3 linked regions of the Struthio camelus genome follow. The protein of the gene in region 3 interacts with the protein of the main gene of each other region in a biochemical or structural test. Links are inferred from orthologs where the notes say so. Each region holds a gene or a part of one and is shown on either strand. Other genes may lie near its edges.

What was found.
Region 1: the proteins of BMPR1A (region 3) and BMP7 form a complex in vitro, tested with the Homo sapiens proteins (2 studies listed by BioGRID). The link is inferred for Struthio camelus from reciprocal best matches to the Homo sapiens genes BMPR1A and BMP7.
Region 2: the proteins of BMPR1A (region 3) and BMP4 form a complex in vitro, tested with the Homo sapiens proteins (3 studies listed by BioGRID and IntAct, with this or other methods). The link is inferred for Struthio camelus from reciprocal best matches to the Homo sapiens genes BMPR1A and BMP4.

Annotation. Positions count from the first base shown.
Region 1 is NC_090959.1:12,811,142-12,820,945, reverse strand, and holds the start of BMP7 (bone morphogenetic protein 7), read left to right. Parts: upstream 1-5,000; coding exon 5,001-5,520; intron 5,521-9,804. UniProt on the Homo sapiens protein: Growth factor of the TGF-beta superfamily that plays important role in various biological processes, including embryogenesis, hematopoiesis, neurogenesis and skeletal morphogenesis.
Region 2 is NC_090946.1:79,891,393-79,901,276, forward strand, and holds the start of BMP4 (bone morphogenetic protein 4), read left to right. Parts: upstream 1-5,856; 5' UTR 5,857-5,893; coding exon 5,894-5,970; intron 5,971-9,884.
Region 3 is NC_090948.1:33,512,068-33,522,335, reverse strand, and holds the start of BMPR1A (bone morphogenetic protein receptor type-1A), read left to right. Parts: upstream 1-5,653; 5' UTR 5,654-5,862; intron 5,863-6,461; exon of another isoform or gene 6,462-6,480; intron 6,481-10,268. UniProt on the Homo sapiens protein: On ligand binding, forms a receptor complex consisting of two type II and two type I transmembrane serine/threonine kinases.

The sequences.
Region 1 (9,804 bases), on a different chromosome or scaffold from region 3:
AAAAGCCTCAACCAAATCAAACACGTATAGAAAAATTTAATCGCGCAAAATTAAGACTGAATTTTGTTTGTGCTGCTTTGGCAATACATGGACCTAAAAGTGGTTCTGTGTTAAACAATATCCATATATATACACATATAGTCCACAGAAATACGTTACTCATATAAGCTTAAAATATACATATATTACTGGAGTATACTGCTGTACGCATACACACACACACTCATACCACCACACAGTTATGTAAAAACATACATATATAACATATGCTTATATTCATACTGTATATAAGGTGTGTATAATAATGAATTTTGCCCAATATCAAAACCACATATGTTTCAATGATATGAGCTTGGTTCTAATGTTGTCTGGAGTAAATAATAAGAACTAAAAAATCCCCCTGGAGATCTAGCTTTGTAAGTTAAGGCCTCAGCTTGGCTCACCTTATGTACTTGTTGAACCTTAGATTCCGCACTATAGTCCCAAATCATAAAGCCAAAGATGATTTATTATTTTTAGTTATTACTAGCATCTCCAGAAGTTATAGCACTATTTCATACCTAGAAGCCCATTCAATTTCTGTCTCTCCTCTGATTAGTAGCAACAAGAATCAATACTTCAAATTTATAACTTAATCAGCACAGTCCAACCCAGCACAGCCTAGCCCAGATCTGTTCAAATTCTTGGATTAGAGTTAATATAATGGCTTATCCATAATGTGATTACTTTCATGTTGATGAATCTGTTCTCAGTAATAATGCTGAAGAGATGAACAGAAACTTTTGATAAAGGTAATCCAATATGATGTAATAAAATAGGCAAGCTGATTATGCATTCTTATACAAATAATAATGCTACTATTTTTGTTATATAAGTGTTTTGCGTGTGCAGAGCCCAGAAGAACAGTGAAAAATCAGAAAACTTGCTATTTTAGTATGAATATTTGGAAGAAGAGAAAAGTTTGCTATAATTCTGGAGGGGGAATTTGTTCAAGACAAATGAGAGAAGATGCAAAGCAGAATGGAAAAAAAACATGGTTAAAAGTTAAAAAGAAAACATCAAAGCAGGAAGACAAGAAGCTTGAAAATGATTCAACAAAAAAGGGGAAAAAATGTTTCATATCTGATTTTTAAAAACAATCATGACATGAGTTTGTAAGCAGAACCTAGGATTTCTACTGCCCATATGGTAAATCTGAATGCAAATGGCCAAATTCTGCCCCGGTATATTGTCTAATATGGGTACACGATGATGGTAACAGCACATACAAATTCAGCAAGCGCACATGCCTGCACATTTTGTGCATTTCATGTTTAAAAACTGCAACCTTCATTTCCAAAATACGTGCTTTCAAGCATATGGATTTCGACACAGGCAAAAACAATGGCAGTAGTTGGTACAAAAATCAGATAAGAGCAGACACGCAAAGCTCAAAGAGATCAAAAGTTGCTCAATTGGTAACGTGGCTTGCGCAGAACCTCAAGGGAAGCACTTCCATTGGGAGTTTGTTTTTATAGAAATTATCTGAAGCAGCAAGTGCCAACAAACAGGGATTACTTCATCACAGGCATTTGGTTTTCCTGCTCAAGAAGAGAAGAAGAGACCAGAGAAGCAGAGAAGAGTAAGAGGAAAAACTGGTTTCTTAATTGATCCAGGAAGGAGGAGGAAAAAGAGGATGATGACATGTAGGTGCCAGTATTTCAGTAACCTGTCGGCAGCCTGTGTGGAGCTGACCCTCTGGGAAGCAGGACCCGGTTTAAGTAGCACGCAGGAAAGGAGGGAAGAAAAAGTAGCTGCCTATTAAAAAAAAAAAAAAAAGGACAATCCAGTTGGCTTGGAAGGTATTTGAAATTCAAGCTCAGATCTCTCAGATCTGAGCGTTGAACCACTGCAGTGTGAGCAGCAGCATCCCTTATTGTACGGAGCAGAATAAATGCTGCTCTTTGTTGTGCCCCAAAGCGAGCTGCAGTGAATAGCCATGAACCTGACATCCAAAAAAATGATTCCTTAACAGATTCCCTTTCTCATCTCACATTTATTGACAGTGTTTTTGGTACACCATGTTTTAAGAACACATGCAGGGAGTACCCCTGCTGCAAACCATGATCCATTTATCTAAGGGTGTACCTGTTACAACCACAAAAAATGTTAAGGACTGAAAAACAGAACCACAGAAAATACGGCTAGAACAGAAAAAACTCCCTCAACTATTCCTATGAACGCACGGCATGCAGTTTCAGTATTCTCCCTTCTTGAAAGAAATCCTCTATTAAATCAGTAAGTTTCTAATGTTGGCCAAAACCAGACCACTTAACCAAACCAAACAAAAAGGAAACAGATTCAAACAAGACCTTTTTGAAAAATATGTCAAAGAAGTTTCAAGGTTTGCTTTTCTTCTGCTGTTTCTTCAGTGATGCATACAGCTACAACATTCAGTTACCTACATGAGGATCCAGCCCTCCCAAGTGATATTTTTCTTTACTTTTCCTCCAAGAGTGCTGTCATTTAAAAGGATTACACTGACCTGAAATTTAGTCAGTTTGAAAATGTGAGCTACAGGCAATTCAGGTGCATAAAATTCGGGCAGCTGGTACACCTGCTCTAGAGTCCACCGTGCCAGCCTTAAGGACTTTTTAACCTCACTGTCCACGATCAAACCAATTCTCCTTCCCCTCCTGCTTGATGAAAGACCAAAACTCAGAACTTGAGAAAAACTAATGGCCCCCAAGGAACAAAGAAGAAATGAAATGAGGTTATGGGCAGCTGAAAGGGAGCGCGGAGGGATGCTGAATCCCTTGCTTGCCGTCCCGTGGCCAGGGTACGCCAAGCTAAGGCAGCCCAGCCCGGGCACCCTCTCCTTGCCCCTCGCTGCCCATTCCTGCGGCCTCCCTTGCTCCAGCTCAATCCCTCCTGTAGTCAGTCAGATCAAGGAGCTGATCCAGCAGAAAACTAATGCAGCAAACACAACACAGGAATGGATAAAAATGTATGTATATACTTTAAAACAGACTCAACTTCCTGACTTGTGTGTGGATATAAGTGCTAGTATCAGCATAGAGAGGGGAAGCAGCATGCAGCTGAAGGTGCAGGTTAGGGTGGCAGGAGGAAAAACGTCTTTTCTAGGAGTAGCCTGGATTTAGATCGGCTTAAATTGATCACGCAACCACACCCAAGGCAAGAGAAATTTAGGCAAATGCCTCCCTCTTTAAGAGCAGGTTGGTGCTGCTTCTCAGGAAGTACAAAAGATGTCAGAGTGTGATCTTAATTGAGCATCCAAAATGCAACTACTCAGGCATTGCCGTGGGGAGAAACGGGAAGGCTGCCACAGGGGTGGGCTTTATCCCCCACCCCCATGAGCACCGGGGAGCTTTGCAAGCGTCCTTGTGCTGCCTGACGTGGATGTGCCTGCACAACCTCCATCCTCCCCATCCCCCCAGAGCTTGATCCATTCTTAAATGTGCCTTAGGACTGAGTTAGAAGTTTAATGCTGATTCCACCACTTCTTCAGTACCTACATGAGTCATTCAATGCTATGCCTCAGTTTCCCTGTAATTAAGAGGTGCACACACACACACAAATAAAATCACTCGATGTGTTTCCCATGCAGCTCTTTTAACCTACCTGCCATTTACACAAGGATTTTAAACATGAAGAGCTAAAAAAGTGCTAAACATTAGTTTCCAGAACATATGCAGGATCAGGTGCTGGATACTACTGGATACTGCTCATCTGAAAACATCAGATGAATAATCTACCAAAGAAACAACACCGACCTCCTTCCCTCCCCTTCCCTATGGAATGAATCTTAATGTTAGCATAAACTTACTGTATTTACATGGTTCCTGCAATTATCTCGGGCTGGATTCAGTGCCCCAGATAATCTCTCCCACCCAGCGTTCCCCTCTCTTTCCAAGTGACGTTTGGGAAGCAGTAATCTACATTTGCTCTCTGAGATTACTCCTGCTATTTACTGCGGCAGTAGACATCTACCTGGACTAATGAGGAGCAGGACTCCTTTGTTCTAGACATTATACAGGCAGCGAGTTCAAAAAAAAAAAATCACTGCTTTAAAAAAGTTGATAATCCAATTCAAGACAATGTGCCACAAAGGGGCATAGCAGAAAGTGGAAGAAGAGGGGAAGGTGAGAGAGAATGACAACGGCATGCCATACGGCTCCCGTGTGCACAGGTTCAGGGTTCCCAATCCCGTACGGGTTGCTGCTTTTAGAACTGTAAACCGACAACTGCCCCCGCCCCGGGTTTCTCCAACACTTTTCCACTAACTCTCCTCGCTGCCAGCTGGAAAAAGTGACCTGGGGCTCTTCGCACACACACACGCATGCCTATGTGAGTGTACATGTAATCATCGTGTTTTAAACAATCCGGTGTTGTTGCTCTTGTCCTGGACAGACTGTCCCCAAATGAGTGTACTTAAAAAAAAAAAACCGGGGGGGGGGGAGAGGGAGGGAAGAAACATGCCTGCGTGCGCCTGTCTGCGCCGGGACACGATACACTTACATGCCTAAACTATTTCAGGATTGGGGCCCCTTCCTTGCAGACGAACCACCCTCCCTGCTGGGGTGTCGTCTCCTTAATGACGTGCGCGCTGACTTCGCCGCGGGGGCACGGCTCACCCTCTCTCTCCCCCGCGCCGGCAGCCGCCACAAACATCCTGCGAGGCAACCTGATCAGAGGTTCCTCCTCCGGGCAGCAGCGCGCCTTTCCCGTCCTTCCCCAGCGGCTCGGGGCTGCGCAGCCCCGCTCCTCCCACCGGAGCCACCCTGCTGCCGCCGCCGGCCGCGGGGCCGCAGCGGGCGCTCGGCGGGGCCGCGGCGTGCGGGGCGCCCGGGCAGAGCGCCGCGCCCGCCGCCCCCCGCGCCGCGCGGGCCGCCCCGCGGCCGCGCTCGCCGCCGCCGGGCCATGAGCGGGCAGCGGCGCCGCCGCCGCGGGGGCTGCCGGCGCCCGCAGTGAGCGCGGCGCCGCCGCCGGGGCCGCCGCGCATGGTGGGGGGCTGCCCGCGGCGGGGCAGCCCCGCGCCCCCCGCGCCGCCCCTGCGCTGCTGCCGCCGCCGCCGCCGCCCGGCCGCGATGCCGGCGGCGGGGCGCGGGCAGCCCGCCTCCTGGCTCCTGGTGCTGGGCGCCGCCGCCCCCGCCCTCTGGCTGCGCTGCGTCCTGGCCGACTTCACCTTGGACAACGAGGTGCACTCCAGCTTCATCCACCGGCGGCTGCGCGGCCCCGAGCGCCGCGAGATGCAGCGGGAGATCCTCTCCATCCTCGGCCTGCCGCACCGCCCGCGGCCCCACCTCCACGGCAAGCACAACTCGGCCCCCATGTTCATGCTGGACCTCTACAATGCCATGTCGGTGGAGGAGGGGGCGGCGGGGGCCGCCGCCGAGGACGGAGAGGGCTTCTCCTACCCCTACAAGCCCATCTTCAGCACCCAGGGGCCGCCGCTGGCCAGCCTGCAGGACAGCAACTTCCTCACCGAGGCTGACATGGTCATGAGCTTCGTCAACCTGGGTGAGTGCCCAGGGGCAGCGGGAGCTGGGCCGGGGCCGGGAGGCTGCAGCGGAGCCCCGGGGGTCTGGTGGCACAGGTGTCCCCGGGGCAGCCATCTCCAAGGGGGATGGCGGTGCCAGGCGGGTGGCAGCCAGCGCTGAGGGCGAGGAAGGGCAAGTTTTGGCCCTTGGGAAGGCAGCTGCTTTGCTCGGTGCGAGTTAACCGGCAGCAAGGTGGGGAGGGTCTGTCTTTCTGTCACCGCACTTGGACAGCCACGAGCGCGTGCCGCGCTCCACCCCGCACGCCGACACGCTCCGTTCTTTGTCACCTTCCCCCTTTCGGTAGTTATTTGCAGCGCCTCAGAGATCGGATTTGCAGGTATGAGCTGAACAGGAAAACTGGCAGGTCTGTGCCACATCCTGAGCCACCGAGGAGGACAGAGCACCAGGCAGGACCGCGGGCCGGGGCACAGCTCGCGGTGCCAGGCTCGCGCCCGCGCGGGTGATGCCAACACCGCCAGGGCTGCCGCGGTGGGTAGTTCCCGCGGCACGGAGAGCACGGTGCTCGCTAGGTTGCACGGGCCAAAGCTGCAGGCGGATGTTGTCTTAACAGCTCGAGAGGGATTCCCGAGTAAATCCCTCGTTACTCCTGCCGCTCTTGCTGGTCACCCCAGTTTAGGCAGCTAACTCGCCTCTTTTCACAAGCACATGTGGCTGGGTTTATGCAACTAATGCAAAAGCTGGCGTGCTGTGTATGTGGCTCGCTAGGCCTCTCTAATTGGGTGCCATGGCCCAATCTGATTTCTCTTTGCCCGCTGTAGATTGCACACCCGTTTGGGCTAACTTGGCTGGATTTAGGGAAAACGTTGTCAGGATGAACATTCTATTTTAAATATAAAATTACAGACCCTGCTTCACTCTGTCCATTTTTAGAGCTCGTCATGTGCAGCCCTGAAACCACCAAATGTACAGATTGGGTGCCTGCAAGTTCAAGGCAAAATTTGTATAGTATTTTCAAAACAAGGTCGACTCAAAACTTTTGCCCAGACAAAGGGACACACAAAGAGCAAGAGGAACGCACCTCCGGCACGTAACAGGCTAGCGACTGCAGAGACCCTCAGCATCAGCAAATCCATTAACACCTTTAGGGATGCCACTGTTCTGCACACCTCGACTCTCTGCAGCTTCAGTGGCGACAAAAATTAAATCACCGCCTCTCTAATCCCAGCACTTAACTAACTGCAAAATACCGGTAGCTGTATAAGCTCCGTGACACACATTAATAACTATTAAATACGGGGGCCATCCCAGCACAATTCTTGCATGATGCTGGGACCTGGGACACTGTGCTAGAGCTCTAGTTTGCATGAGCTGCACCTTCTTATTAAACACCGTAAGCTTCACAGCAGGCATCTATGAATTACGTTTGGCCTTGGGGCTGCGCTAATACTTTCCATTTAGAATTATAGTGTTTGTCTAATCACTGCTAGATACTTAAGCCGATCAGCAATGATACATTTAAAATCAAATATTTGAGCAGCCAAAAGTACCACTGGTGGTCAAATATTTGACTTGAGAGATAGGAGTGATCTTGCTAACATTGTTCGCTGTGGCACTTGGGTGCTACACAATGTGCAACCAAAGTGCAGGGAGAGTCGCTCACATGACAAAGGATGTTGAAATAACTATAGCAAAACTCAGACTCTGTTTTCCTTTTGGTAAAGTGGAACCTTTAGGAAAAATATAAGCGACTAATGAAGTTTATCCTTAGGGAAGCTGTTGTACTCCTGTTGTTTGTAGCTCTTTGCTGCATAACTTTTCATCAGTACACTCCAGCACTCCAGCCCCCTGCTTCCTATGCAAGGAAAGGCCGTCTTTGCAGCCCATGGAAAAGGAATAAAAGGGCTTAGTGTTCAGGTCCCAAATGCTTTTGAATACAAACGTTTTGTGATCAGAGTGGGACTGATCAGTAAACTAGAAAACAGAAATTACATTGCGGATGTATCTACTTACAAGTGAAAACTTTTTTATAAAGCAGCTTTCATATAAACTATATGTAGTCGAAGTATATCCTTTTATCTAATTGCTGTCAGCGTGGCCAGCGAGTAGTAAGAGGGCAGGAAAAATCCAATGGTTTTTAGAAAGACAGGTGGAAAAATTACCAGCAAGGCACGTTTCAGAGGTTTATCTGTACTGTTTTGTTCCCTTGTCAACAGTGCATGCCAGGACGAGTTTAAAAAGGACATAGATCTACACTAGCTTTCTTCATCACCGTGCACACCTTTCATCCCATTATAGTCATCGGTCTTTCATCTTTATAGGACAAAGACAGGCTTGTTTATGGACGTTTTAATGAATTAGACCAGCCACTCACTCACGTATATAGTCAAACACAACACCTGCTTTGATATGTACAGTTTTCTATGACGTTCAGGGAAAATTAGAAGATCTATTGTATAACTGCTATTTTTTTGGAGACTTTCTACAATGATCCCTTTTAAGCCAGAGCTGAATTGCTAAAGGCAGACTATAGTAAACTGTGTCCTAGTTTTGTAAGAGATACCCTGTGAGCATTGCGTTTCACAGGTAGGCTTTTATTACTGTACTAGAGCCATCACAATGAGGAAGTGTCATAGCGTAATAAAGAAGTTTCCTCTTAGTAATGGAGGAAGTAAAAGTGAGTAAAGAAATAATACCTTTAAATTTCAATAAACAAGTTGTGTTAATCCAGGCTTCCAAATACTAATCTAGCAGTACACTTTTTTTGCTTTATTCCTAGTTCGTCATCTATCTGGTCATACAACTTCAGAGAAAGCTAGAAAAATTAAAGATTTACACCGAAGTAAATAAGAGCCCACATAGTGAAAATAAATAAAAAATAAGAACAAACCACCTCACTGATTTCTATGGAGATGGTCTGCATATTTAATCCAAAGAAGTTACACTGGGTATTGGTAGGGAGGAACCGGAATACAGGTGCTCCATTTCACGGTTATGTTGGAGGGAGCTTTGAACTTGGCATGTAACGTTACTGTAAAATCTTGACAATTAATTAGGTTTAGATTTATAACCACTTAATTCACAGGCTACGTTTTGTCTTAACTTACACCTGTGTTAAGATGGATGGGAAATGGATTTGTGTCAAGAATGAAGTTACATATGTATTAAAAGAGAATTTGGCCACAGTGGTCTGACTAAGTTGGCCAGTTAATTACTGACTAATCTTACAAAATTTATTACTATAATTTAATTAGTTGGAATTTCATTCCGGATCGTGTGCAAATAAAGTTTACAAACTGATCCATTTCAAGAACTTAACTGAAAAAATACAAAGCATTTTCTGCACATGTTTAATTTCCAGTTTATAAACAAACTAATGAGTAAATACCTGCTGGATTACTTAGAGCCACTCTTCTGAAAATAATTGAGTCGTCCTTCTGCGGGTAATCATGACTCGGTAAACACGCTTGCTCAGAATACTTTTAAAAAGAGTGATATGCAATTTGTTAATTTGTCTCATGGTCGATTATAAAATGGACAACACTCTTTCATCTTGGCAGAAAATGGGGGGGGGGGGGATTAGTCATTCTTGGAAGGAGCACGTGAAAGTGACTTTTGTTCCTGTAAATCAAGAAGCCGAAGAGCCCCCAAGTTTCCTTTTATTTCGTACCATCTGGCTGTCCGTTTTGTTGACAAGTGTTTGGCATAGCGAGCCATCTCTTTGCCCTTTCCTAACAGGCTTTAACACTGTAGGGTATTAGAAAAAGATTCTATAACAGTTAAAAAATTTCCTTCGGGGAATACTTTATAAAGTGAGCACGGGCTGCAGGCATTTGCAGCTGTAACCTGGCTTGTGTTAAGATTTGGAAGGGGCTGCCTCGCATTCCAGCTCACTACGGGCCGTCACTGGTGTACAGCCAAAGGTTAATATAGATGTCACACAGTTTTTCTTTGGAGAGCCTCAGATATAAGAGTGCGCGTACAGCTGTGTTTTTAGTAACCCTTTCATAATCACTTCTTTTAAACTTCATTTTCCTGCTTGTATAAATCAAAGATTTTCGAGGATATTTGACCTGGATTTGAACTTATTTGATCTTCGCATATTTTCCCACTTGAAACAAAGCAGATGATTAAACGTTAGCCCTGCGTGCGGGTTGGCGATCGCGCGGGTTCGTCCGTACGTGAGGCCAAGCCCTCAGCTCTGTGTTTTTGCCCCTGTCCTCCGCCTCGCGCGGGTGGGAGCCCGCGAGCCCCAGCGGGTACACCCCGCAGTCGCTCTGCGTCGCGCGGCTGCAGGCAGCGCCTG
Region 2 (9,884 bases), on a different chromosome or scaffold from region 3:
TTTTATTACTTGTTGCAGTCATTCTCCCCTCCTCGGCCTCTGTCCTGGGAAGTTTAGCCAAGCAACAGGGAACTTCTTGGTGGGGAAATGGATGGGTAAGGAGCAGAACCACTCAAAATGTGTTATATTAGTCTCACAGCGGGAGTAATTTTCCCAGAGAAAGATTGACAGAGGGAAGATTCCCCTCATTCTCCTTCTGTCTTCATATTCCTGATCCCGCCTATGTGGAGTCTATGTAGGACAAGATAATGTCACTTCTGCAGTCTCCTTAGACCCTTTGTGGGATAAGAGGAAACTCCTGCCAAGCCGCTGGGAAACTGTTCTGCCGCCTACAGAAAAACTGGGAATTCTGAGGGATGAGATTTTCTAGCAAACATGCTCGATTCTGGTAACCGTTTCTGGGCTTATTCCTGAAGCAGGGGAGAAATTGCTAGTCCTCCATTTGGTGGAAAACTGATAGAGTTCTGCTTAAATCAACCAGGCTGTGCTGGCTGACAAAAGTGAACCTCTCTCCTACAAGTGAGCAACGTCCCAGGCCTCCTGTAAACAAGGACTGTAAAAAAAGCTAGTTTTCATAGAATCACAGCACGGTTGAGGTTGGAAGGGACCTCTGGAGATCATCTAGTCTATCCCCCCTAGCAGGGTCACCTAGAGCACATTGCCTGGGATCGTGTCCTGGCGGCTTTTGAATATCTCCAAGGAAGGAGACTCCACCACCTCTCTGGGCAACCTGCTCCAGGGCTCTGTCACCCTCTCAGGAAAGAAGTTTTTCCTCAGGTTCAGACGAACCTTCCTGTGTTTCAGTTTGTGCCCGTTGCCTCTTGTCCTGTTGCTGGGCACCTGTGAGAAGAGTCTGGCCCCATCCTCCTGCCACCCTCCCTTCAGGTACTTCTACCCGTTGATGAGATCCCCCCTGAGCCTTCTCTTGCCCAGGCGGAAGAGGCCCAGCTCTGGCAGCCTTTCCTCCTAGGAGAGATGCTCCAGTCCCTTCCTCATCTTTGTCGCCCTCCGCTGGACTCGCTCCAGTCTCTCCATGTCTCCCTTGTACAGGGGAGCCCAGAAGTGGACCCAGTAGTCCAGGTGAGGCCTCAGCAGGGCTGAGGAGAGGGGCAGGATCCCCTCCCTCCACCTGCTGGCAACGCTCTGCCTGATGCACCCCAGGAGACCATTGGCCTTCTGGGCCACGAGGGCACCTTGCTGGCTCGTGGTCACCTTGTCGTCCGCCAGGACTCCCAGGTCCTTCTCGGCAGAGCTGCTCTCCAGCAGGTCAACCCCCAGCCTGTCCTGGTGCGTGGGGTTATTCCTGCCCAGGTGCAGGACCCTGCACTTGCCTTTGTCGAACTTCATGAGGTTCCTCTCCGCCCACCTCTCCAGCCTGTCCAGGTCCCTCTCAATGGCAGCACAGCCCTCTGGGGTATCAGCCACTCCTCCTAGTTTTGTACGGTCAGCAAACTTGCTGCGCAGAGAGTGCGCTCTGTCCCTTCGGTCAGGTCACTGAGGAATACATTGAAGAAGACTGGACCCAGTACTGATCCCTGGGGGGACATCACTAGCTACAGGCCTCCAACTAGACTTTGCGCCACTGACCACAACCCTCTGAGCTCTGTCATCCAGCCAGTTCTCAATCCACCTCACCGTCCACTCATCCAGCCCAGCCTTCCTGAGCCTCCCTATGAGGATGAGGGTTTTCAAACAAATCAAATGCAATGTATCTACACTGCCGGAGCATAACACTCAAAGCTCATGAATTTGTCTTCATCAGCATGAAACCAGCACAGTTTGGGTTCCCTTCCCAGTCAGTTAATAGTCTTCAAGGTCTCAAGGAGTGATTGTACCTCTCTAATCTCATCAGTGAAACATGAGCCAGAGAATTTCACTGTGTCATTCCTGCTTACATGTCAAAAGCTTACATGTCAGACTCTACCTGGTAGAAGAGGAAGTTATCCCATCTTGACTTACAGACTTCAAATGAGAAAGAATTTACCATATCCCAAAACAGCTTATTCCAGTGGTTAACTCTCTTCCCTGCTAAAAATGCACCTTTTACTTTTTAAACTTTGGGATTAATCTTTTAAAAATGTCTTCATAACTGTGAAGTTTTGAGATCTTTTTTAATTTTTAATGAGCCTGGAATTCTTATATAATAACAAGCTGTTGGGAAATGAGGCTTTGAACAAAACATTTAATAATGCAAGACCGGTGATAAAATGAATAGAGCTAGAAAGACTGATCCTGCCGAATTACCTAGTCCTCCCAATAGGAATAGGCAATGACTGAGCTTTATTGTTTTTACTAGCAGATAACTGAAGATTATCTCTTACAATTTTCTGGAAAAGAGTGCAGTCTGATCAAAGAGACTCCTATCTGGCAAAATGAAACAGATTTAAAATCTGTTTATCCTTTACAATATTGTGCTAAGCTTCTCTTGGTCCCTAATGGGCAGCAGACGACTATACCATGCACCTCTAATTGGAGAAGCTCATTGCATCTACTGGATCTGTTTGTAGTGAGCCGCTTGCAGGAGACAAAACCTTGGCATGGGAAGTTGCCTGTCTCCTAGGGCGGCTGGAAGGGGAGCAGAATTCCACGTCTGCCTGGGTCCACCCACGCAAACAGGAAGGGGGCCGTGCCAGATGATAAGTCCAAGTTACCATCCAGGGGAACGAGATGCCAGAGAGGATTGTTTTCATTTCCATGGGATTTCTAATTAAGGGACATGCTTTAACTATGTTTTCAATGGCTGAACATCCAAATGACAGTTTGATATGAGCAATTTGTCTGGCAGGCTAGATAAATTCATACCAAAGCTAAAGGATTTTCCGTTTAAAATGGGTGCACATCCTTAACTGTGAATCGGATCAAACATTCTTGTAACTAAAGAATCCTCTTTATGTAACAACTTTTTTTTAAGCTTCATTCTTTGCAGTTTTAATGATCAAAGTCTCTTTTTCTCCTGATTTGTCCCCAGTCATTGACTCTGCAAAGTGCTTGTTTTTTTTCTGAACCCTCATTCTTGTTCCAGTTTGATGAATGAAGGGAAATGTGTATTCCCATTTCTGCTGTCCCACCCAGCCTTAATGAGCACTAGCATTGTCTAACTGACTCCTGGGGGAATTTGCTACCTGCATAGCTGTTGGGCTGGGCTCTTGCAGCTGGATTTCTTTTGATGCATTATTTTCTAGAGATGTTATCCACTGTCTTGTGAACAGGTAAAGTGAGGAAAAGGGGCTGGTGTATTTCTGTCTGGGGAAATTAGGCAAAATCTGATTAGGCTATTAGCTGTCATGTAATTATGGAATATTGGAAATCACAGAATGACAGAATGGTTTAGGTTGGAAGGGACCTCTGGAGATCATCTAGTCCAACCTCCCTGTTCAAGCAGGGTCCTCTAGAGCATATTTCCCAGGATCACATCCAGGCGACTTTTGCATATCTCCAAGGAAGGAGACTCTACAACCTCTCTGGGCAACCTGCTCCAGGGCTCTGTCACCCTCTCAGGAAAGAAGTTTTTCCTCAGGTTTAGATGGAACTTCCTGTGTTTCAGTTTCTGCCCGTTGCCTCTTGTCCTGTTGCTGGGCACCTGTGAGAAGAGTCTGGCCCCATCCTCCTGCCACCCTCCCTTCAGGTACTTCTACCCGTTGATGAGTTCCCCCCTGAGCCTTCTCTTGCCCAGGTGGAAGAGGCCCAGCTCTCGCAGCCTTTCCTCCTAGGAGAGATGCTCCAGTCCCCTAATCATCTTTGTCGCCCTCCACTCATGAAAAATGCTGCTTTGCTTGAAGGATATACTGCCTTTTATTGCATTCACAGAAATAAATCGAAGACATGGTGTACATGGCCAGCAGAGATGATGTGAGCAAAAATTAGGTGGGTTTATACGAATCGTAGTATGAAGCTCTCTTGATAACTTTGCCAGCTTCAGCTAGAAGGACTTTGACTGACATTTGTTGTAGTTTAACTCTGAGAACTGTGAGCTTTGAGGGCTATGTGGCTGCATAGTCTCCCTTCCCCGCATCGTCATATGACACCACCCAAAATATGTCTGAGTGGAGAATACAGTTATTTTTGGTACTGTCCCAGAAACTTATCAGGTGTAGTGCAATTAATGAATCAAGTGCCTTAAAAACATCTGTCCAGAAGCAGCAGATACTCTTTTGGTGACTGAGTACAAGAATTTCATTCAGAAGACTGACATGCAAAAAGCTTTTTTTACATCGTTTCTTCATGGTGTATATGTGCTGCTGCTTCCAAGGACATGGTATTTTTGCTGTACCAATGAAAATCTGCCTGCACCTGGGCAAATCACAAGACTGAAAATTCTCAGTTTATATGTGATCAGTGGAGATTTAGCTGAAATCCTCAAGGGGTTAGCCTGCCCCAAATGTTACTGCTGCACAGGCTGTTGCCACAGCCTCCCGCCATGGTGCCTGAAGGGGTCTGAGAGCAGGACTGTAGAGATGGCTGCTCTAGGAAGGAACTGGAAGCTGGCTTTAGAGCTTATTCCTTCTATGCCCTTGTTTCTTGCCACATCAAAAGTCAGAAAATGTAGAGGAGGAATCTATGACTTGTTCAGAGAAGACCAGAGATAGCAGAAAGGATGGGGGAAGGAGAAGATGGGAGCAAGCAGTCTTCCAAGATTATGTGTGAGGCAGTGGGGTGAGCAGGAGAGGTGGAGACTAAAAAGCCACAGGAAACTGAGTCTGGGTAGGGGTAACAAGATGGACCCTGTTGGCTGAGAAAGGACGCAAAGAGGTGGAGACAAGAAACTGGATGAGGGTAATAAAAGCAGGAATGCATTGGACTGAAAGCGTTGTCCATGGCAGAGAAGGGAAGTAGAGAAGGTTGAATGTAGAGGGGGAAGCAGGGCTAGAGAACCAATGTTTATGGGAGAGATATATAAATAGAGTGGGGACTAGCTGGCCAGGCAAAATGCAGACAAAGTTTTATGAAGAGAAGTGAGACTGGGTGTGAAATTGAGACCTCAAAGAGATGACCCTGGGAGGAGACCAGTGCTGGCACGAAATCTAGAGGTGGATCTCAAGCAAGATGAATTTGAAAAGGATATGTTGAACCAGTCAGGCTTTGGGACAACAGCAGCCATTTGTCTCCAAGCTGGAATGAAACCTGGAGCCAGGGGCACACCATCCCATCACTGTCAGCAAATATATCTGAATTCCTCTGACCTCTGAAAGTGAAATATGTCTTTTCCAAGCCTGTACTGCTGTTCTGCAGAGAGGATGGCAAGCAGCTGTGGGAGTCAGTGCTCTGTTTGCTCAAAGGGATGAGGTATGCAGGTGACAGAATACTTCTCTGCTCATTAACTGTATGTTATCAATGTGCTGGATATTTTGTTTTTTCAGTGTGCTTATTCAGAAATCTAGAAAGTGCAACATGAAGCCAGCTATGCTGGAAGAACTTCACAACATGTGAAAGAGTAAGGAGAATAAAATAATGAATAGATGCTCAGGAATCAAGTATCATCTGTAGTGGAGAATGCCTAAAGCTGATGGAGAAAAAAAGTGGGCTGAGAGTAGAGAGAAGGCTTGTGCATCATTGCCTGTAGTCCACGGACTCAAGGCATAGGCAGTCTTGATCTGCATGTTTTCTAAGTCTGGAATGATTGACTTTGCAACTGTAGTAACATTCTCTGAACGTAGTCTTGGTCAATAATATAGAGCAGCAGGTTAAGGAGGCAGGGAAGGTTTATGCTGTTCAGCAGGGAAGAACGTGAGCAGATAAGTAATTGGAGATAAAAAAAGTGGAGAGCCCATCTGATCCATCATGGCTGAAATAGCTGTGTTTATTAGTAAAACCGAAAGAGAAGGACTATCTCTGTGTTCTTATTTTCTATAATAGGAATGTTTGAGAGTCCCAGAAGAGATCCTTCTCCAGGAAGATGGTGTTTGCATTGAGAAGCCTACAGCCTATAGAGAAGGCGGGCACAGAGCAGGAAAGGAGCAAGAGCACTGAGAGGTAAAGCAGGTGGCAATGGTTAGCAGCAAAGCTCATCACTGAACTTCTGAATCTCAGTGCAGTGATGTGTCTGTTAAATTGTACTGCTGTTTGGGCTTGTAATGAAGCCAAAAGGAGGTCTGAATAAATGTTCAAGACTAAAAGCACTATGGGATTTCTGCCCTAGAAACCAGAATCCAAAATGGGTTGATTTTATTAAAAGAAAAGTAAAGAAAAAAGCAAATGGATCAGAGCCTATTCTGAGTGGTGCTGCTGCCACCAAAATACACACTGAACGCTCTGTAAGGAAAGGTGAAATCTCATTAAAATGAGCAAGACTACAGGCCTGAGCCCTGTTGGGAGATGCAGGCATACTGAAAGCTGTTTATATTGGCTAAGAAATACACAGGTTAATAGCAGTTTTAGCATTTACACAGGACCCTGCAATGTCCTCAATGCTTTACACAACAAATAAAAAAGTTGTTAATTACTTGTCCTGAAGATTTATATAATGCAGTATTAGTAAAGTTGGGACAGCACGAACAGAAGCGTTGATTGCTGAACGTATGCAGGCTGTTATACCCGGGAACACACCAGCTTTGTGTTGTTCCTACCCAGACCAGCCCCTTGCTCCTAGGGCATTGATTTTACCCAATGTTTGTGCAGTCAAATTCCATACTAGATTTAACAGGAATTTATATGAGTCTTTTTGTATACAAATCTTGAGTCTTCTTCCCTCCAATCAAAAAAATCTGAAAGTGCCAATTACCTTACCAGATTTGTTCCTAGGATTTCGATGGTCATTTTAAAAATGAAAGTTTTCAAATTAATTTAAGTGCTGCTTATTTGGCTTTCAGTACAGCAATGTTTGTCTAGTAGCAATAAAGCAATCAGAAGTGAATCTGGTTAGTTATGTCACAACTGAAAAAGAGTATGACAGCATATGTTTTAGTTGAGTTTATTTAGAACATCCTGCTGCTAAAATCAGCCTACAGAATGGTCAAATTTCATAAAAGTAACATTTGGACTATTTGTGCTCAATTAGACGTTTATTTAAAATTTCCTCTTGGTTTACTGATGTAAATGTATTGTTCATTTTTCACATACCAAGCACTGTTGTTTAGTCTCAAGGGAATTATTGTTACAAATTTAACAACTGTGACATATTAAAAAGCACATTTAAGGAAGAAATTAAGGGTTGAGAGGATGTGACCAAATGTTTCCATGGTGTTTTGCCAAAACGTCACTTAAATGCCAATGCGATTTTAGTAAGAGTTGCTCTTTCAGAACTCATCTTGCCCACGAAAAAATAAAATAAATCTCGTCTGCATAAGAGGCAGGCGTACTTTCATTGCACTTGCCGGAAAATCATTTCCTAAGTTTTATTTTCATTTTGGGAACTACTTTTAACTACTGGCTGATTATCATGTTAGTTCTCTGTATTAGGCAGCTGATTAGCGAGGAGGAAGTCGATAGCTTAGTGTGGGGAAGTAAAAATGTTCAAATTGGATGCCTCGTGTAGGCACCTGCATCCCTAATTAACAACTAGCCGATAATGTCAGGAACTGATTTTCAGGAAGTTCTTTGTTCTTTGAAAGTCAGGCCCCAAACTGAGCAATGAAAAATAGAAACCTGGGACATCGGTGATTACTTCTGAGAAACTCAAGCCTAATGTCAGAGCAAGTTGTGAATGGTATATGTGCAAGTCTGGGAAACTGCATCTGTGATTGTTTTTCTATAATTTTGATTGCCTTTCTAAAGTTATCAAAATGGGATTGTTCTAAGAAGCAGTTTCTCATGTGTGTTCTGTAAACAGAGAGCTTTCTGGGAAAGTGGCTGTAGAAGGCATTCCTGGGAGATACATCCCTAGACCTGAGCACTATCATCTGAGCATCTTCTTCCAGCTGCCTACTATGGGCATCACGACTGCTTCAGTGCTCAGCTCAGCAGCATAAGGAGCATTGTAGGCGCTCTTCTATTTAGAATGATTTGATCCCTGATGACGTAACTCAGGCTGGGACTGAAGACCCCAAGCTGAGCTAAATGTGCTCCTGGACCCATGAGCACAGGTGGGGGGAGGCCCCAAGTCAGGCTGGTCAGGGCCATTAAGGCCCATTAGTGCCCTCAGGGCCCCGACACGGAGAAGCCAGAGAAGCCGTGGTGATGCTGATGTTAGGTGCTCTAGTGGGCAATTTGAAAAGCAGAGCTATGGTTCCTCTGGGTTGCAAACCTCACGCAGGATCATTCACTTTGAGATGATCAAGGCAGTTTATGGTGGCCAGACGGAAGTGCAGAACAGTAACACCCCTTTTCCTCAGAGGATGGGGCAATTGTTCAGACATAGAGAAATGTAAAATGCATGCTCTTTAGGAAGAAAATGAGTTATATGAGTAATTATCCCTGGTGGCTGTATTCCATGATGATGGGCTGACTGGCAATCGATAGCAGAGTAGATCTGTATAGCAGAGTTAAATATCTGTTCCTCTTAGCAACTTTGCAGAATTGCACTTTCTTTATGCTTGTGCCTCAGCACAGGTGAGTAACTTGATGCAGCCAAATCTCACACTTTCTGAGCAATGCTGAGTTATGCGAACATGCCCTGTGTAAACAGCAGCCCCTGGGAGAGAAGGGGCTCTGGGAGAAACAGACCTCGGTGTTGTTTGCTTCTCCCACAGACAAGCCTGGGTGCACTCACTTCTACAGCCGTGCATGGTAGATTTTGTTTATTTAGCTCTCCTGTGAGGCCGTGATAATTTATGTCCAGGAAAATATCATTTCTTTCCTCTTTGTCTTGAAACCATTAATTATTTTCAGTTGTATTTAAAAAAAAAAAGTGTAGGAAAAAACACATATGACAATTAACAATTGCCAGAGCCTCTAGGCTTTCCCGAGCCTTCTCCTGTGAAGAGCTTGGTCCTGCCACTTGCTAGGTTGCATTTGTCAGATGTGGAATAAATATGGCAGCACGTGATCAGTCATGGGTGCATGTGGGGAAGCACTGCAGAGGACGGTGAGGTGGATTGAGAACTGGCTGGATGACAGAGCTCAGAGGGTTGTGGTCAGTGGCGCAAAGTCTAGTTGGAGGCCTGTAGCTAGCGATGTCCCCCCCAGGGATCAATACTGGGTCCAGTCTTCTTCAATGTATTCCTCAGTGACCTGACCGAAGGGACAGAGCGCACTCTCTGCGCAGCAAGTTTGCTGACCGTACAAAACTAGGAGGAGTGGCTGATACCCCAGAGGGCTGTGCTGCCATTGAGAGGGACCTGGACAGGCTGGGGAGATGGGCGGAGAGGAACCTCATGAAGTTCGACAAAGGCAAGTGCAGGGTCCTGCACCTGGGCAGGAATAATCCCACGCACCAGGACAGTCTGGGGGCTGACCTGCTGGAGAGCAGCTCTGCCGAGAAGGACCTGGGAGTCCTGGCGGACGACAAGGTGACCACGAGCCAGCAAGGTGCCCTCGTGGCCCAGAAGGCCAATGGTCTCCTGGGGTGCATCAGGCAGAGCGTTGCCAGCAGGTGGAGGGAGGGGATCCTGCCCCTCTCCTCAGCCCTGCTGAGGCCTCACCTGGACTACTGGGTCCACTTCTGGGCTCCCCTGTACAAGGGAGACATGGAGAGACTGGAGCGAGTCCAGCGGAGGGCGACAAAGATGAGGAAGGGACTGGAGCATCTCTCCTAGGCGAGAGCTGGGCCTCTTCCGCCTGGGCAAGAGAAGGCTCAGGGGGGATCTCATCAACGGGTAGAAGTACCTGAAGGGAGGGTGGCAGGAGGATGGGGCCAGACTCTTCTCACAGGTGCCCAGCAACAGGACAAGAGGCAACGGGCAGAAACTGAAACACAGGAAGGTTCGTCTGAACCTGAGGAAAAACCTCTTTCCTGTGAGGGTGACAGAGCCCTGGAGCAGGTTGCCCAGAGAGGTGGTGGAGTCTCCTTC
Region 3 (10,268 bases):
TGGTCACACATGCAAGTGCTACTATTGTTTAACATTTTGAGTATGTACAATGAAAACTCTTCAATTGCATTGAATGTTTTATATTTGGGGGATTTAATTTCCATTAGTAGCTTTTGAATTTGTAATGGAATTTTAATATGCTATTATCTTAGATTCAGTCCTGCATCTCTTAACAGGCAATTTTTTGCTGATGTCAGTGGGAGTTTAGACTGAATTACATACAGTTGCCAAATCTGGAGAGTTGCAGATACAGGGTGTCTCTTTAAAAGCAAGGGAAGTTACAGACTATTTGTCAGGATTTGCCCTTTTTTTTGGCATGTGTTTTTTTTAACTTGCTCCAATTCCAGTTCCAATATACATTCAAGTATCTTCAAGACCAAGGGAGAAAAGCTGTATTTCTATGCTTTTAACTTCATCACATGTTTTCAGACATACTAGCTGACTGCTGTGTCTGAAATATAAGCATGATCTCCTTTTTTTTTTTAATTAATTTAGTAGACCTATATTATTTTGCTTGTGCTAAGATAGGAAAAAAGAGAAGGAGAGTCAAGAGTATTTTGCTGCATTTATTCTTATTTAACAGTGTTGCATTTGTGGTTAAGGATGTGTTCGCAATGAGAAAAAAATTTAGAGCTTGATTGGTTAAAAACTATTTGGTTCATTTGTATAGGATTCAGATCTGTTTCTAACAAGACTGGAAGAACATTGCATTTTCTGTCTTGTATATATCCATCTTTGTAAATCTCGACACTACCCACCATAGCTGCTAGCAAAACATCTGCCTGAATCCCTCTCTTCTAAGGACACAGCTATCAAGACAGACCATTCTATGCTGAAAATAGTTCTGCTTGTTTAACAGTAGGACTAAAAACCAATTTCTTTTTTCAGCATCGGTTCAACTTCTGCTGCTGAAAAGGAGAGTCATCCAGAAGTGAATTTTCTGGTATAAAGGCTTGAAGGGGTTGAAGACCTCAGCATCAATAAATGAAATGTTAACACGATGGGCTTCTGGATCCAAGAATTACTCAAACTTGTAAAAGAAACGAACAAATACCTCTTATTATAAGAGTTGGAGGAACAGATAAATTTATCTTAGTGTAGTACAAATATTCTCAGGGAAAGCTAATAATTAAAACTTCTTTGTCGATCTTCTGCAGTGCAGAGTGATAGTTAACTAGGAATATCACCTTTAAAATCAGCACTAGAGTCTAAATACTTAATCTTCTCAGAGCAAATGAAGACCTTATGGTTTTTGTTTGCATGCATCTAGGGAAAAACATATTACTAATTCTCTGAACTCCAAACAAATCGACGTGAGAGAAGCACCCAAGTAAACTCTCTGTCCATAGTATTTTCTTCTTTTCTGTGTAAGACTTTTAATGTTTTTACTAACCAATATTAGATTAAAAAAAAAATTATTTGAAGTGCTTTTTGAATTTACAAGGATGGCTGTTTTGGGGTTTGTTATGGCTTGGTGAAAAGCTGGAATATGCTTTTTGTACCTAGAAGTCCATAAAACCAGAAACAAACACCTCAGCTAGGCACAGAAAGAAGAAACAGGGAAAGCAACAGGAAATTTGGTTCTTGACTGGCAAAACGTTTCCTAGAGTACTTGTGAAATCAGGGAAAGCGTTCCCATTACTACAGTCCTTTGAAAGATGCAATCGAGTTCCCTACAATGCCGCTCAGTAAGAATTCAGCTCCCATCCTGCACCAGCTGCCTAAGGTAATGACAAATGGAGCTGTTACGTCCTTCCTCCTCACTGTCCGCTTGAACAAGGCTGAGAAGAATCTGTCTGCAGAAACCATGAAGTAACCCCAAAATGCACCAAGTATTTAAGCTGTGGGAACAGTTTCCTGTTTCCTCCTGCCTGTTCTGCACATTGGAGTCTCCTACGCTGTTTTCCAGTTCTGTACCATGCTCAGTTCCACATCGCACTTGTTGGACTGAAGACTGGCCAGGGCTTGCAATGCTAATGAATTAATGCTTTTTTGCCTTTTTACTATCAGTGCTTCAACAGCAGAAGTTTTTTAAAAACACCTTTCCTCACAGATTTGAAACTGGCTTATTGAATTCATTATGCTTACATTTAACACATTTAATAAAATCTGTGCCATTCCTAAGTAACAGACAGCTGAATGGATTTATAATCAAAAGAACGTGCTTTCAAGTAAAATAATTCTGAAAAAAAGACTAAGCCAAATTCACATCATGTTAAGTGAAAAAATTATGTCCCTGGCTGAAGGGCAATAGTCTTTTAATATTTAACATGGAATATTTATTTTAGTAACAGTACCAGAAAAGCACTCATCTAATTGCAAATATATTTTCAAAAATATATTTGGCTTATACACTGTACTGTGGATTTTAGACATATGAATTCCAGAGACTGAAAGGAAGAAGGATATACCAAGATGAAAGCCCTATCACATGGATGACCTTCTCCCTATACATACCTCTTTGTTCTTAAAGAGCTTTTGATATTTAAGACTTGCATGTCCCAAGTGATTCCAAGACCTAATAAGAAATTCCTGGAGAGGAAATGACAAAGAAAGCAGCTGGAAGACTATCCAATTCATGACTTATTTAATTTCTTTTTAATACAGCTCTCTTCATCATGACAGTCAGTCTTGAACTACCACTCCTATATTTCTCGCTAGCCTTCCACATCCCTTCCTGTCCAAGTGTTGAATGAACATATGTTTATCTTCAGACTTTACTTCAGTGTCTTTGAGTGCTTCTCTACTTACAAAATAAGTACCTCATGTTACCAAAAACCGACGCGTCCAAGTTTTTGCAGATTTGACCAATCTTGACCAAGTGAATTGTCTGTTACTGATAACAAGCTTGCTGAGACCCTTTGTGTCTTTCTGACCACCTATCAGCTGAAGTGCTCATCTTCTGGTTTAAACAGATATCTCTACCTACCCCATAAAATAAAACAAAATAAGGTTTGATTCTTCATGTTTTACTTGACAAAAATCTTAGGTTAAATTTTCGCAGTTCGATTCATTAGGGGGTGTACAATTGGGTTCTTCAGGCACTATATAAAGAAAAACACTTCCATCACGTCCAGCATCACACGTTATGGCTGGGCTGCTCAGCAGTCCCCCTCTCACACACACACCACTGTATGATCGTAAAAAAGGAATTTTATTCTGCCCACATTGCTCTTATACTTTTGTTGTAAATCGTATGTTTCAAAAAATACTTTACACCTGTATGAATTTGAAACCACATCCTAAGCAACATTATTTCCGGCCTGACTATTGCTTGAGGCATCTTAAGTACGAGTGCCTTAAAAAGTACTAGTTGAGAAGGCAGTTCCTGTGACTTACTAATTTACTCATCAAGAACTGGATGAAACAATCGATCCATTTCACACGAGGAATCAGACAAATTTCAAGGTTAGTGGCTTTTGCTAAATTCAGGCATACTGGATTTAAATCAATACCCAACATCTGAAAAGCACGGGATTGTATTACCACATAGATTATTATTTAAAGAGATGCTAGCTCTAGCAGTTTTAGCTCTGGTTGGGAGCTCACATGCATGTCGCATTCTTCTTCCATATTGAGTGTCTATTCTGTTGCTATAATCTGATAGCAGACAGAGTGGAGGAACAGCAGACTCATATTTTCCTTTGAAATTATAAACATAAGCATACAAGTTCTGTATTGCTTGGCATGAAAGCTGTGATTTTGTCTTTCTTGCAGACTGTCTTTGTTTTGGACACTGACAAATTTTTCTGGATGAGGGTCATCGGAAAATTTTTTTCTAGAAGTTTAGTAAGACAAGACCTGTATTTTTAAATGCCTAAGACTGTAGTATCTGGCCGCCTGCACCTTACGAGGTGTGCCTTTACTTGGTTGCATTTTAAAGGAGCCTGCAAAGTTGACAGGTTTGAAATTATACTTCCTCTTTTGTTTTGCTATATGGGATAGTATGCAGGCTAAGCGCTTGCCTAGCAATCCATGAGTCTAATGCATATGAACTGTTCTTGCAGAGCCAGTGCTCTCATTTTACATCCTGAAGTGGTAACTCTAAAGTGGAGTACATGACATTTATGAATCCTATCTGATACTAGCATGCAAAAACGGAGCTAGACTGTGGAGAGGACAACACAGTAAGCAAGCCGTTGTTTCCCACACGATATGTACATGTGGCTATTTGCCACTCATAAGTGAGATTGTTTCTCAATGGTTACTCTCTAGAAATGGTTTATCTGGGCAGACCTCTTCACAATGGCAATTGCTGATGTGTCCTAAAGGGTGTTTTGGTCTACTTGCAACAGGAAAGTGAGTAGGTTTGTATGAGCTGTATGATCTTATTTGCCCCCTACCGTTGGCTTTACGTGCAAAGTTCTTGATGCAGAGGGTCCAATCGATATGGTATTAAAGGCAAGACCATGTCAACAAAACAACCGCTGTAATTTTGTTGAGTAAATGATTGAAAACAGCAGCCCACGTGGGAACTGTGGGGACTCCTTGTCATATGGCATACCATCATCAAAGCCCCTTCTGCACTGCTGTTGGGAGACACCACTTGAAGACAGACAGACAAGTTACGACTTTGCTAATTTGCCCTAATGACGAGGAGCTTGGAAAGCCAATGCAAATCATGGCCTTTAGCACACTTACCAATGAGCAAAGCAGCTCACTGCAGAAGTTATACTCTATCCCAGCCTAACTATCTGGGCTAATCTTTAGAGATACAGGAAGGGGAAAAAGCAAACCAACAATTTCGTCCATTGCGGTGGCACTACCCCTCTCCTGGCCCTGGCACGCCAGCCTTTCCAGAACTTAAACTATCTTTCCGCATAACTAAAAGGCCCCTTCAGGGCCCTCATTCTTCCCCTACAGTGGGGCGGCAATTGCCTCCTCGTTGCCCACTCCCGCTCACACCGTGGTCCCCTTACGCCACGTCAGGCAGGGCCGCTAAAACACTCCTCCACACCCCCTGCTCTGCGCGCCCTGCCAGCCATCCGTCCTCCGGGGCACCGGCCCCACCAGCTCCCTGGCCCAGCTTTCCGGCCCTCTGCCGCGCCCCCCTCACCCCACCTCGGCGCAGCTCAGCCCCCACGACGCCTGCTTGGCCACTCTTCGCCCTCGCACCTGGCTAGCGTCTCCTGGAGGAGCTCCTGCGCCCTCTCGCCTGGCAAAGCCACGCCGGGCACCCGCCTCTCCGCCTCGCCCGGGGCTCCGCCGCCGCGCTGGGCGGGGGGAGGCAGCGGCCAAGGCCTGCGCGGCCGCCCGGGGAGGGCAGGGACCACGCGGGAGGAAAAGCAGGCCCGGCTCGTTCCTCCCGGCCCACTTTCTTTCCGGGGGGCCCCGCCAGCCCTCCCGCCTACCGCCCGCCTTGATGAAGGGCGGAGGCGGCAGCCGCTGCAGGGGGCGGGAGCGGGGGGGGGGGGAGGCCGCGCCAACGGCCGCTGGTCGCGCGGGGGGGAGGGGGGCGCCGCCCCGCGCCAACGGCCGCCGCTCGCGCGAGGTGGGGGGGGAAGAGGGGGCGCCGCCCCGCGCCAACGGCCGCCGCGCGCGAGGCAGCCCGGCAGCGGCCGTTGGTGCGCGCGGCCGCGGCTGCAGTGATTGGAATGCGGCCGGGGCCCCGCCCCACCCCGCTCCGCAGGGACGGGCCGCGCCGCGCCGCGCCGGGAGCGCCGTGAGGGACGGAGCCTGCGCCGTGCCCCGGCCCGCCGGCCCTCCCACCCCCCGCCTCCCCCCGCACACCCCGCCTTCCCCGTCCGCCCGGAGCCGCCGAGGCCGCGGGAACGGCCTGCGGAGCGGAGCGAAGCGGGGCGCGGGCCCCCTCCCCCTCCGCCTTCGCTCGCCGCCGAGGAGGATGAGGAGCCCCCGACGCGGGTGAGTGCGGGGGCCGCGCCGCGCCTGCGTTGCCGCCGCGGAGAGGCGGGCATGTCGGGCCGTCGCGGGACGCCTTGCCCTGGCCCGGCGGAGGGGAGCGGGCGCCGTCGGGGCTGGCTGCCCCCGCCGCCCCGCGCCGCTGCCCGGCGGCTTTCCGCCCCTCTGCGCCCGCCGGTGCGGGCCGCCGGGCGCCGCGCAGGCCGCGGGTCCCCCCACCCGCCGCCCTGCCCCGCCGCGGCGCTGGGGGCGCTGCGCCGGCCCCGCCGCCCTCCGCGCCGGCGCTGGGCCGCGGCCGAGGCCGAGGGTGGCGCGGCGAGGCGCTGCGCTGGCGCCGGGCACGGCGCCCCTCGGCCGCGTTTCGGCGGCCGGCTGCCCCCGCGGCGGGGTGGGCGCGGGCGGGGGCCGGCCCCGGCCCCGGCCCCGGCCGGCAAGAGAGGCCCCGCTCGCCTCAGCCAGGGGCGCGCGCAGTAAGAAGCGTCGTCCGCCGTTCGTGCGCGCTTGGAGCCAAGTTACGCGCCGCCTCGGTCGGCCTGTTGCTGTCGGGTTATACGAAATAAGGAACAAAACTCTTCCCGCAAAGAGCGCTAGTCGCTGGGCCTACCTTAGAAGTTTTACTTGGTACGTTGACGGTAGAGGTCTTACGGAACAGCCGAAGGCTGTGCTGTTGAGTTGCGGTGTTCGGTGTCTTCCTGTAACTGATTGCAAAACCTAGGGAAGACGGTTAAAAACTTGCATGGCTCCCTACGGCCCTTTAGTTTTGTGAAAGAAAGTGAATTCGGCGGCAAAGAATGGCATTAAAGTGTGTTTCCGTGGAGCAGTCACCTGTCGTTTTGTGCTGAGGTTGTAGGGTGATTCTTTCCAGTGTGGATTGACTGCCTGTCTGACTCTTTTCATTCTCTGTGGACAGGTAAATATTTAGTGAATTCTTCATCCAGGTAGCTTCGTTGCAATTGCTCAGAGTCTGTTATCTGTAGGGATGAAGAAACTGCTTTTGCAGATAAGAGGAAAGTCATCTGTTTCAAGAAAGTTGCCTGATTTGTAGTAGAAACTAGTACTGGATAAAACATTGCGTGAGAGTAATTTATAGTCAGATGACATTGCAGTCTGCATGCAAAAAAAAATCTCCGTGTTGTGGCATTTGTAAATTGTTGGCAGTGTATTTGTCTCTTGTTACTGTACTTATGTTCCTTTTGTAACCTTTTCTTAAATTATTCAGTAGATTTAATTTTGTTATGTAAGTGCATGTCTGTGTTTCATATATATTTACATATAGGTGCACATGCATACGCCACAGTGGGCTTTGAGTTTTAGTCTAAGATTTTTTGTTGAGGATCCTCTCGCGTAGAGGTAAGGTTCAGCAGCCAGACTTAAGTATGTCCTATGGGCTCCTCAGTTCCCTTGACAGGGAATATATGTGGCTGGAGCTGCATCCTTCTTTCTAAAAACATGAAGTAATTTAGGTTGGACGGGACCTCTCGATGTTATGTGATCCAGCCCCTACTCCGTGTAACTTGGATTTTACTCATTAAAAGTTGTGCTTAACGGAATATTTTGCAGTTAGAGCTGCCACGATTTCTTGAAGTCATTGTAGAGAAACTAACTCCTAATGTTTTTGACGCTGCTTTTCAAAATCCTTACAGTGAGAATTGTGTGCTTTGTTAGGAGAATTAAAAATACTCAATATGGTAGAGTGTGTAAGCAATGTACCTACTGCTTTCTGGCTTCCAACATTTAGGAATCAGGAGTCTAAAATGTAGGTAGCATAACTAAAATAATTAACTTTATTCTTTCTGGTACTTCCTGTAGTTATTGAACTACTCCCTTATTTAAGTATTTTTTAGATGTGGATTTTAATAGCAGTATCCAAGTTTGAGAAAATAAAATGTTGACCACATTTGGTATTAAATATTGTGCCTTTTTGGATGTGCCATAAACTAGGTCTGATAATTTCTTTTAAAATGGACAAGTGTTTGCCATAGATGAGCTTTACTGGAGTATTATGCCAATAAAAACAAAAAGGATTTTGAAGAAGTAATAGATAGCTTTGTCTACTTCCTGGAGTGCTGAAAGGCTAGCACTTGATGGATTGCTTAGTGTTGTGGGGTTTTTTTGTTTGTTTTTTTTTTAAGTTAGGAAGTATGTTCTTATGCTTCTCCAAGAAGCAAGATATAGATTATGCAATTATATAAAGATTAATAAAAATATAGGGAAGGATTTGCTAAATATTCACTATTTTTATAACGACGGATTAGTGTAAGTTATCTTCATATTTTAGAAGAAAAAAAGTAGTGTGAAAACAGTGATGTTAAACCACTCTGAATCGAGGAAATCTCTCTTAAATCATTCAATATAATGAAGAACTTCTGCAGCTTTCTAAGGCATTGTGAAGCGCGAATATGTTACAGCAGATAAGAGGAATTCAATAGGTGCCCTCATAGAAGGGGTCAAAGAAGAGATACTAGCGCTTGCATGACTTTTGATATATCCAGACTTTCTAAGAGAAACAAACCCTGCCTCTCCAAAGACCTTGAAAACAAAACAAATCAAAAAGGGAGGTGGGAGCCTGCCTGCCTTGTTTGTCTTTGTGGCTGGTAACTTTTCTGATGAGGACAATATCTGTTTCCAGTAGCAGATGATGGCTGAGCATAGCAACTTCTTTGGCAGGGTGTTGAAAGGTGTAGATGGATAAATGAGACAAGATAGTGCGTGTGGGGTGCGGAGCACATTCAAAATGTGTATGTTTCTTCTGTGCTTGTGTAAAGGGTCAGCTGAAGATCTGCCCTTTCTATCTTGGCTATCTGGGAAAGCGCTTGATATTTCTTGGCTCCTCAATAAACAGGAGGCATATCTTCAGTGCTGGGGTCTTACTTCACCCACCTTACTGTCTTCTGCAAACAAATGACAGAAGGAGCTCAATAATTTAAAGGTATATCACTTCAGAGTTGGAATATTTGGACACTGGTGCAGTTCTTGCAGCTTGTTTCACTTGTTAACATTCCTAACCTGCAGAGTATAGTGTTGGGGGTGGGGGGAGAGGGAGGCTGAGTGCCTATATGTCTGTGTGCATGTCTACCTGACAGCAAACTTTTCCTTTAGCTGATGGAAATTTAGTGGTTCAGTTGTTTTTGTTAGATAACGTCTTTGGCAGAATCTTCACTCTGTTTCTTCTGCGGTTACTCTACCAAACTTTTTCTGATTATCCCTAGTCATGGTGATGTCATTGAGTTATCGTGTGTTTTGTACAGTGTTTAATGCTTTAAAGGGAAAGCAAAGAATTTCCTTTTGCCTGTTTTTCTTGCAGTTGCTTAAAGGTTACAATTAAGTCTGGGGAGTGATTGATATTCTCAGACAAAATTAGAATAGTTTTGCGTATTCTGAAAAATGTGTCTAACTGAAAACAAATGTAAGATGTTACCTGCTATACTGCAACCCTTTAAAAATAATACAGAGACGGGAATAGGTGATCCTTGAAATAAGGCAAAGAGCTTGAATCGTCACTTAGTTTATTCTCATTGTAAAGAAAGTGCTGCTTTAACGTTCTAAATGCTCTTAATAAAAAGGTAGACAAAATTATTTTGTGAGGGATTCAGTGAGAAAAATATGTTTAATGTTCTTTACTCTAGATATCTAATTGTCAAAAGCTTTAGTGTATAGGGTACAAGCAAATAATTGGCCTAACACTGACCAGGAAATAGACTAGGGAACAAGTTGCCAGCTTTCCAGCCCCAAGAAAACAAAACTAAAAATTACTGTGCTTATTTTCAGTAGAGAATGTCATCCTTCTGCAAGGAGGGTAAATTTTAGTTTCCTTTCCTTTCTGTGAGGGACTATGTCCTGACTGATAAGGCAGTAGGTTACAGCCACCTCCTAGTCCAACTGTTGCACGAGGTGGAGTATCCTAATAAGTCGTGAAAATCTAAAAGACCAGCATATACTGAAGTGTGTTGTGATAGGTTTATGACTAAAATATTTTAGACCATGGTATTTTTGGTATATTGAGAAGACTGAGAACTTTATGTTATTGTAGTGATAAGATGCATGAGTTTCTGATTATGACCCCATTGTTCTGGTTTTGCACAACTGTTACGGTCAAATCTTTTGGATTTATAACACAATTTTCTTCTTTGCCAGTTTCATAATAGGTGTCCTGTAGTTGCCCTTCTACTTAATTTGAGTCCTATGGGTCTCATTCAACTTTACTGTTTTACAATAGTATGGTTAATAAATATTGGGCATAACTCAAAAAAAGTACGTGAAGTAGGAAAATAAATTCTGCTTCATGGTTGTGATCATGGATCTGCAATATATGAACTTTATCAAAGGAAAAGCAACAGCAAAGATTTATTTATGGTGTAGTGTGTTATCAACTTACAATTTTTCCAGTGACATCTGTTCCTAAACTGAAA